Linked DNA regions of Saccharomyces cerevisiae S288C. The protein of the gene in region 1 purifies or fractionates together with the protein of each later gene. This does not show direct contact. Each region holds a gene or a part of one and is shown on either strand. Other genes may lie near its edges.

The links.
Region 2: the proteins of VTC4 (region 1) and VTC5 purify together in Saccharomyces cerevisiae (affinity purification with western blotting; 2 studies listed by BioGRID, with this or other methods). This does not show direct contact.

Annotation. Positions count from the first base shown.
Region 1 is NC_001142.9:410,500-415,032, reverse strand, and holds VTC4 (Vtc4p), read left to right. Parts: upstream 1-1,633; coding exon 1,634-3,799; downstream 3,800-4,533. Other genes in the region: DNA-directed RNA polymerase III subunit RPC17, read left to right, coding at 263-748; MAD3 (Mad3p), read left to right, coding at 3,993-4,533. UniProt on the Saccharomyces cerevisiae protein: Catalytic subunit of the vacuolar transporter chaperone (VTC) complex.
Region 2 is NC_001136.10:620,305-625,542, reverse strand, and holds VTC5 (Vtc5p), read right to left. Parts: upstream 3,432-5,238; coding exon 822-3,431; downstream 1-821. Other genes in the region: ILT1 (Ilt1p), read left to right, coding at 1-477. UniProt on the Saccharomyces cerevisiae protein: Regulatory subunit of the vacuolar transporter chaperone (VTC) complex.

The DNA.
Region 1 (4,533 bases):
GTAGGGGGCTCGAACCCCTAACCTTATGATTAAGAGTCATACGCGCTACCGATTGCGCCAACAAGGCTAATTCGTTGAAAAATCCTTCAATTCCTGAAAATTATACCAAGTAAAAAAAGGAAAATTGCCTGAAAAATTATTTTTTTCAATGCCATCGATCTATGAAAGTTAAGCAAATAACAGCCACAGTAGAAGAGAAGTTGAGTGAATCCAACACCCACCACTGAAAAAATCGACACTTAAACAAAAAACTTTAAACGTTATGAAAGTTCTTGAGGAAAGGAATGCATTTTTAAGTGACTATGAAGTCTTGAAGTTCCTAACAGATCTAGAAAAAAAACATCTTTGGGACCAAAAAAGTTTGGCTGCGCTGAAGAAAAGTCGCTCGAAAGGTAAGCAGAATAGGCCCTACAATCATCCTGAATTGCAAGGTATTACTCGCAATGTGGTTAACTATCTCAGTATAAACAAAAACTTTATCAACCAGGAAGATGAAGGCGAGGAACGAGAAAGCAGTGGTGCAAAAGATGCTGAAAAATCGGGTATAAGCAAAATGAGCGATGAAAGCTTTGCTGAGTTGATGACTAAACTGAATTCTTTTAAATTATTCAAGGCTGAAAAACTGCAGATTGTCAATCAACTTCCTGCCAATATGGTCCACCTTTACTCCATAGTGGAGGAGTGTGATGCAAGATTTGACGAAAAAACAATTGAGGAAATGCTAGAGATCATCTCTGGCTACGCATGAGTGTACAGTGCTTTGAATTGATTTGGACTGGCACTTCCGAAAAACAGAAATTACTTTGTTGTGTAACAATATAACATGTTCAATGAGTATGCATGTATTATTGAACTTAAGCATATAGAAATATTTACAAGAATATACTTTATTTTTTAGAGTTTATTGCGCACACTTTGGGTTAGTCTCGATTTTTTTTATTTCCATTGGAGGAAGGTTATTATTTGGAAATTTAGTGCTGCGTTATAAACGTCTGTAAAGCCAGTACCACAAGCAACTTCGGTGAGATTTAACTTTTGTTTATTCTGTATTTTTGTCGAGGCTTAAAAGGGTATACTAGTTGAGGGCGTTACAGTAATCCCTTCATGGCAAGAATAAAGTAATAGTTATATAATAATTGTCATACGCATTGTTATACCAGTTGACGAGTAAAAAAAGACGCACCGTGACTTCAAGAGCTGTCGCAAACAAGTTCGACAATATTTAACTTATAAACATATTAAAGCTTTCAAAAATATAGTCTTTCGAAGAGCTTTTTCATACTAAGAGAAGCGTTGCTAATATTCCGAATTAATCACGCAATTGCCTCTCTGCTTTCCACGTAACCCATCATAGGAAATTGTATTAATATGTTACTTACTGGAATTGCACAGGAAAACACCGACAAAAAATTGGTTTGTCTGCGTTTTGACGGAGAGCTACTGACTTGTAGGTTCACTTTTTCACACACCGCACTATGCATATATGTTGCATTTTTATTATTCATCCGCACGTGGCTGCACACGTGAATGAAAAAGAAGCAATACTATCTTTATATATTGAGGCAATCAGAAAGAAGTTACAGGCTAACAATCAAATCGGCCAATAAAAGAGCATAACAAGGCAGGAACAGCTATGAAGTTTGGTGAGCACTTGAGCAAGTCTCTTATTAGACAGTACAGCTACTATTATATTAGTTATGATGATCTGAAGACTGAGCTAGAAGATAACTTATCTAAGAATAACGGTCAGTGGACGCAAGAATTGGAAACAGATTTTTTAGAATCTTTGGAGATCGAGTTAGACAAGGTTTACACATTTTGCAAAGTTAAGCATAGTGAAGTTTTTAGACGTGTAAAAGAGGTTCAAGAACAAGTGCAACATACTGTTCGTTTGTTAGACTCCAATAATCCTCCTACTCAGCTAGATTTTGAGATTCTAGAAGAAGAACTAAGTGATATCATTGCCGATGTTCATGATCTAGCAAAGTTTTCGAGACTAAACTACACTGGTTTCCAAAAGATTATCAAGAAACACGATAAGAAGACAGGTTTTATCTTGAAACCAGTTTTCCAAGTTAGATTAGACTCTAAACCATTTTTCAAGGAAAACTATGACGAACTAGTCGTTAAAATTTCCCAACTATATGATATTGCCAGAACTTCAGGTCGCCCAATCAAGGGAGACTCATCTGCTGGTGGGAAGCAACAAAATTTCGTTAGACAGACAACAAAGTATTGGGTTCACCCTGATAACATTACAGAATTGAAGCTGATCATCTTGAAGCATTTACCAGTGTTAGTCTTCAACACTAATAAGGAATTCGAAAGAGAAGATTCCGCTATTACTTCGATCTATTTTGATAATGAAAATCTAGACCTTTATTATGGCAGATTAAGAAAAGATGAAGGTGCAGAAGCCCACAGATTGAGATGGTATGGGGGTATGTCTACAGACACGATCTTTGTAGAAAGAAAGACCCATAGAGAGGATTGGACTGGTGAGAAATCTGTCAAGGCAAGATTTGCGCTAAAGGAACGTCATGTTAATGACTTCTTAAAGGGTAAATATACTGTTGATCAAGTATTTGCCAAGATGCGTAAAGAAGGCAAGAAGCCAATGAACGAAATTGAAAACTTGGAGGCGTTAGCATCCGAAATTCAATACGTCATGTTAAAGAAAAAGTTGAGACCTGTAGTGAGATCATTCTACAATAGAACTGCTTTTCAATTACCTGGTGATGCAAGAGTTCGTATCTCCCTTGATACAGAGTTAACTATGGTGAGAGAAGACAACTTTGATGGTGTGGATAGAACTCATAAGAATTGGAGGAGAACTGATATTGGTGTCGATTGGCCATTCAAGCAGCTAGATGACAAGGATATTTGCCGTTTCCCATATGCAGTCCTGGAAGTTAAATTGCAAACTCAACTAGGTCAAGAACCTCCAGAGTGGGTACGTGAATTAGTCGGGTCTCACTTAGTTGAGCCAGTCCCAAAATTCTCCAAGTTTATTCATGGTGTGGCTACCTTACTAAATGATAAAGTGGATTCAATCCCATTTTGGTTACCTCAAATGGATGTTGATATCAGGAAACCTCCACTACCAACAAATATTGAAATAACAAGACCCGGTAGATCCGATAACGAAGATAACGACTTCGATGAGGATGATGAGGATGACGCTGCTTTGGTTGCTGCCATGACAAACGCACCCGGTAATTCTCTTGATATAGAAGAATCTGTTGGTTACGGGGCTACTTCGGCCCCCACCTCCAACACTAATCATGTTGTTGAGAGTGCTAATGCTGCTTATTATCAAAGAAAGATCAGGAATGCCGAAAATCCTATCTCCAAGAAATACTATGAAATCGTGGCATTTTTTGACCACTATTTTAACGGTGATCAAATATCTAAAATCCCAAAAGGTACTACTTTTGATACTCAAATTCGTGCCCCACCGGGAAAGACGATATGTGTGCCAGTTCGTGTGGAACCAAAAGTTTACTTTGCCACTGAAAGAACCTACCTGTCTTGGTTGTCCATCTCGATATTGTTGGGCGGTGTCTCCACTACTTTATTAACATATGGTTCACCAACAGCCATGATTGGCTCCATTGGGTTCTTTATTACTTCCTTGGCTGTGTTGATACGTACTGTTATGGTTTATGCCAAGAGAGTGGTAAACATTAGACTAAAGAGAGCAGTAGATTATGAGGATAAGATCGGGCCCGGCATGGTTTCTGTGTTTCTAATTCTCTCTATTTTATTTTCCTTTTTCTGCAACCTAGTTGCTAAATGAATACACAGCGTGTTTTTTTTACTGTATAATTAAGTAATAATCATATTAGATATAATAATTTCTTTAGCGCCATTTTTTTATATATGAGAACTACCCTCTTGCCTGAAATGCACACCTTCACCAGGCGCACACTGGTTCAAAAATAGTAAACAAAATCATGCGAAAATACAATAAAAGACGTTAACTTGATAGAATGAAAGCGTACGCAAAGAAACGTATCTCTTACATGCCATCGTCACCATCACAAAATGTTATTAACTTTGAAGAAATCGAAACTCAAAAAGAAAACATTCTTCCCCTGAAGGAAGGCAGATCAGCAGCGGCACTCTCGAAAGCGATACATCAACCACTGGTGGAAATAAACCAAGTTAAATCAAGCTTCGAACAAAGACTGATAGATGAGCTCCCTGCATTAAGCGACCCAATTACTTTGTATCTTGAATACATAAAGTGGCTGAACAACGCCTATCCACAAGGCGGTAATTCCAAACAATCTGGAATGCTCACCCTTTTGGAGCGATGTTTATCTCACTTAAAGGATTTGGAGAGATATCGCAATGATGTTAGGTTTCTTAAAATATGGTTTTGGTACATAGAACTTTTTACCAGAAATTCATTCATGGAAAGCAGAGACATTTTCATGTATATGTTAAGAAATGGAATTGGTTCCGAGTTAGCGTCATTTTATGAAGAATTTACGAATCTATTAATTCAGAAAGAAAAATTTCAATATG
Region 2 (5,238 bases), on another chromosome or scaffold:
CTAGCCAAAAGGAAAGGTCGTGTTATTGGCATCAACTTTGCCTTCTTATTCATCGATTCATTAGGTGCTTGGCTATCTATCATCAGTGTTATCCTAGGTAATATGGATATTATGGGTATTATATTATACTCAATAGTTGCTGGAATGGAGTTAGGAATTTTCGCGTCTCATTTCATATGGTGGTGTAGGTTTAGATTCCTAGCTAAAGGCAATACTTTTGACGAAGAAAGTGGCCAAGCTCAAAAGGAAGAACCCGATGAAAAAATCGAACAAGATATTAGCAAGAGTGACCGAAATGTTACTAACTATAACCTGGATAACTGTTCAATCCCCGACGATGCTTCGAGCTTTGCAGACGATTTTAATATATACGATAGTACTGATGGGGGGACGTTATCAAGAGCCCAAACATTGCATGCTGTCCATGGAGTTGTGGTTAGAACAGATCCTGATCGTTATTCGAGGCTAAGTGTGTAACGAATCTGAGTCCTTTTTAGTTAGCACGTTTTCATCTCTTTTTGATAGCACGCTTAATAATATTCACCACTAGCGCAGTAATATGGCATCTGCCGCAGGTGTAAAGGTTTTCACTTCGCTTATATTCACAATACTATGCGTTCAAACACGGCCATCAGAAAAGATCAAAATAAGGATTATTAATTAAAAACTTAAACAGAAATTCAGTTTGCAACACCCTTCGCAATGGCGAAGTTTCCAAAAACAAAATCTCCAAACAAGATTAACATTCTTCTTATGTAACCACATGATATGCATATTTTATATAGACTGTACACATGAAAAACTTTTATCGTCCAAAATAATTAAAAGAAAATTTCAATCATACCATAGCACACTGTTCCAGTAACTGAGAAAAACATTGTGAAGCAACCAACATAATGCCAGATTGGCGCCAAAGTGAACCGACTAAATAACAACAACAGGCACGCACAGATCAAAATAAGGGAAACCAGTAAGGAAATGATAATAATGGCTATGAGAATATTTTGAATTTCTAAATCTATCTCATTATTACTTTGCCCGCGAAACAAGGATAAAACGATTCCCAGACATACACTTGCCATAATGCAAGATGTTAGCAGTGCAGACAAGTATAAAAATGTAACAACTTCGTCATGCCTATATTCGTAGATAGATTGTGAGTCCTCTATGTCTTGCTGTTGATACTGTAAGTACCTTTGAACGTCATCATATGACGCTGAAGTTGATTGTGAACCAAATGACGCAACAGAACCATAGTTAGTTGATGAACAATGCGGATGCTTAGAGTTTTGAAACAAATCTGGCGATGTTTTCTTGTCATGGCGAATCAAGTTTCGTAACTTCTCACAAAAATCATATGTGCGGTTGATGAAATTCCGGCTAAACAAAATAAACCCATAATCAGGCGGAGAATTTCTCAAAAGTAAGGATTCTTCGTTATCTGTTGTACTCCTGCTTCCATTAGTATCAATGTAAAAAGCATTGTCTAAATTATCCTCTTCTTGTTCATCAAATTCATTCCAATACCTAATAGGTTTCTTTTTAGTTTCATTATCCGATTGCTTTGATTTTTTGTGAATTCGAACTCTTCTGCCGCTGTCAACACTACCTTGTGAGTTGTTTATCGGCCCAGTCAGGTCAAACTCTTCCTCTAGACGATCCTTGCCCAGCTGGAAAAATTCATCAGGTGATAGCGAATCATCGGAATTTAATTTATATTGATCTCTTAGTAAAAGTTGAAATAAATCATTTTGCAATTCATTTGAGTGTACTAATTCTAAACATATTTTCCATGTGGTTAAGTCTGGTGGTATTAAGCTGCATTGAAACTCATTTGTAACAACTGATTTCATTAACTGTTTAAACTTATTGTCTTCATTAATAGCCGTCTGTGAAAGACCACTGGATCGACTAAGCTTTTTAATTTCTAAAATTGGAAAGGGTAATGTAGATACATTTCCAATAGTGATAGATTCATCCAAAGCTATCAAGTATATATCTCCATTGTCTGCTGATATGAATCTTGTTCTTTTAAAATCTAGCTTTGGTTCAATGGTTTTTAATCGATGGGACTGAATCCACTCCAAAGCGATCTTACTGATTGGCGATGGATCCAGTGAGTTTATGAGAGCGCTAATATTTTTTGTGTCGTTGCCACTCCTCATGGCCGAAAGAATATTCTTTACATCCCTTAGAAGCAGATCATTTGTGACAACATGATTTCTTAAGCCGCCCACGTGGCACATTACTATACAAGTATCCTCAGCAGTAGAGCTGACTATCATGTTTGGGTGCTGATTTATATTATCATCAGTAAGTAGTAAAGGACTGCCTTCGTTCCCGACAGTATCTAGTATACTAATAGAAACGTACTTCTCATTGGATTGTACAGCAGAGGGTAATATGTTCTTCTGTTTAGATAGGGATAAGGTATGTTGTAAGTCATTGAATGACTTTGCTGATCTTATAGATTTGTTGCCCGCAGAATTAATATTATCTGTAGTGTCTAAAATCTCCTTTGAAGTGGATATGATGCTATCGTCAATTATCCTAAAACCAATATTCAATAGCATGAACTTCAGTCCCTCTATGTCCTCGGACGATAATAAAAACCTTCCTAGATTCTCTGCTTTATCTATGAGGGCAGTATCGAATTCTAGCGAAGAATCAATCATTTTTGAAGTTTTCTTGTTTGAAAGTAGCGGAATTGACCTTGGAGATGCTGGCAAGGAAGAATTGTTGGCTTCTGGACTTGAACTTGTATGGGCAGATTCATCGGAGCGGTTTAGGGATCTTTGCTCCACTGCTGGCTCAGTTGCATCTTCAAGTTTATTTTCCAAATCATGTAAAACATCAACAATTAGCGAAACTTCTAAAAGATATGGATCTAAATCAAGCTTCATAAATGATATGCCTTCGTGTCCATTTCGTAAACTTTCAGAGTTTCTGATCGACGTAACATACTCACTTGCAGTCAATGGATTTTCACTGTCTTGAGGAAATTCATTTAGTAATTTTTTGAATAACTTTCTCAAGGCAATCCTTTGTATTATCAAAAACCTTGACAGTAGTTGTAGTTCAAAGTTACAATCGTCTACATGAGCGTTGATGATTTTCAGTTTACGAAGGTTGAAACGGTTTCTGGAAGTTTTGTTTAAGCCCTTTGAAAAATCGATTATTGATGATTCCACAGAAAGAATACGAGTGGAAATTTCCTTTATTTTCAAAGAAACAAATAAATTAACATTTTGAAATTCCTGGTCAAAGGCTACTGAACATTGATTCAACAACTTCTCCATGCCCGAATCATTTGGATTGTCATAATCATAAGCCGTTACTTTTTTTATGGCTACTTTTAACTTCTCATAGTTAATATTGTAGAATTTCCATTCAGGGATTGATTTATTCAATATGCGATCTTCAAATTTCATGATTGTACAACCCTTCGTATCTATCCTTACCTAGGGCTGAGATGGAGATATACAAAAAAAAAGCAAAGGTAAAAAGCAAGTATTAAACTCTATCTCTATTATATTCAAGAGGGCAACGGACGAACTATTAATTTATGAATTTTAAAAGTCCTTTGATAGCGTTCACGATAGGGCTTTTTGATCTTGCCTTTGTTTATCTTTTTATCTGTTTTGTTTTTTTTTTTTTTTTTTTCTTGGTTCAGTTTTGACTCTTCCACACACCCATTTCGCTAGCGTAGAACAAGGGGAGACACAAACTTTCTTTTCCTTGCAAGTTAATAACACAACACCCGTCCTCCTGCACTGAATTTACACAGAAGTTAAGAACCGCCTCTGCTTTTCTGGTATTATTTTGCAGCCTTGCCTAAAAAAAGTGTGGTAATTTTTGAGAATAATATATTACTGTGTTTTTCGAAACGAAAGTTCTGAATATTGGCTTGGTCGCTTCCTGATATCTGGAAACTTGTTTAATGTTTTTAATTATCAGTCTTCAAAGCGTCCTGATATGACTTGCCACGTTTCCATCCATTCTATATGTAGTTTAAATACAATGAGATAAAGGGTGCCTGCATGGAACTTTCCATTCGAAAAAAGAGATCATAAACCTTATCTGTCAAATAAAAGCCAATCTATTTGATTAGGTAAAAAAAGTGATGTCAGACCAAAGTGCCCCTCTCCTGCAATGATCATCGATTACGTACGGGTGTAATGATCACGACAGTAAAGTGAGCAAGGTAACTACTATCCCTAAGTGCGGCGTCATTGTAAGTCTACGACGTAGCATATTCAGTTTACTGTACAAGAAAAGTTTTCTCTCTGTAACAAGAGGAAATTGGTTAGCTTTCTACGCTTACTTCGTTTGGTACGATCAGTAAAGGTGAATAAATTAAGATCCACGCCTTCATATGGCAGGATCCACGATATTCCTTGCAATACCCCTGGATAATTCAAAAACCAAATGTTACACGGTATACTTGAAAATCGATACCATATTAGGAACACACCGGCCAAAGGTTGATAATACTTGGTATGAGATAAAACCCGAGCTCAAGGTTTAATGTTAAAATTTTTTGTATATATATATATATAGTAATGGGCTCGGTTGCAAATTTTTATGACTATCTTGAAACTAGTTGAAATTGCAAGAACCGTCACTCTATGGAGTACATGAACAACTAAAAAATAGCTTGAAGATACTTGCCACTCCATGCCATTTCTAGAAAGGGGTCTCTTGAGAAATGTGTGTTAAAATAACGGTTATATAGTTGGAAAGAATATTACTATTTTGCGATTAAGGGATGCCGTATGGCAGGCAAGGAAGTATTTGATCAAGAATACCGATTAATGAAGCATGTTTGCCATTATCGTTGAACCTTGGTATTTCTCAGGTTTCCTTATCGATACGATAGGAATGAGAATCAACTAACATTTATCGACTACAATTCATTATTACTACTATATTATCAAATGCTCTGCAAGGAGATGACCAAAAAGAAATGAGAAACAGTCTTCATCTCAAAATATAGGCAATTACCAGGTATACGATATTTCCTCAAAATGAAAATGCCTAAAATACGACAGAAAAACTTAGGGTGACGACTTTTTAACTAATCACTGAATGCAGCCGAAGCAAGTAATTATTTCCCTCGTTGCTACTCATTGAGGCCGCTCCATATGGAGATTTGAAAAAGGTTCTATTGATTCTTTAACTGGTGTCCATCCCCATGAGAACGTTTTAGTTAATTAACTGCTGGTAAAATAAGCGATA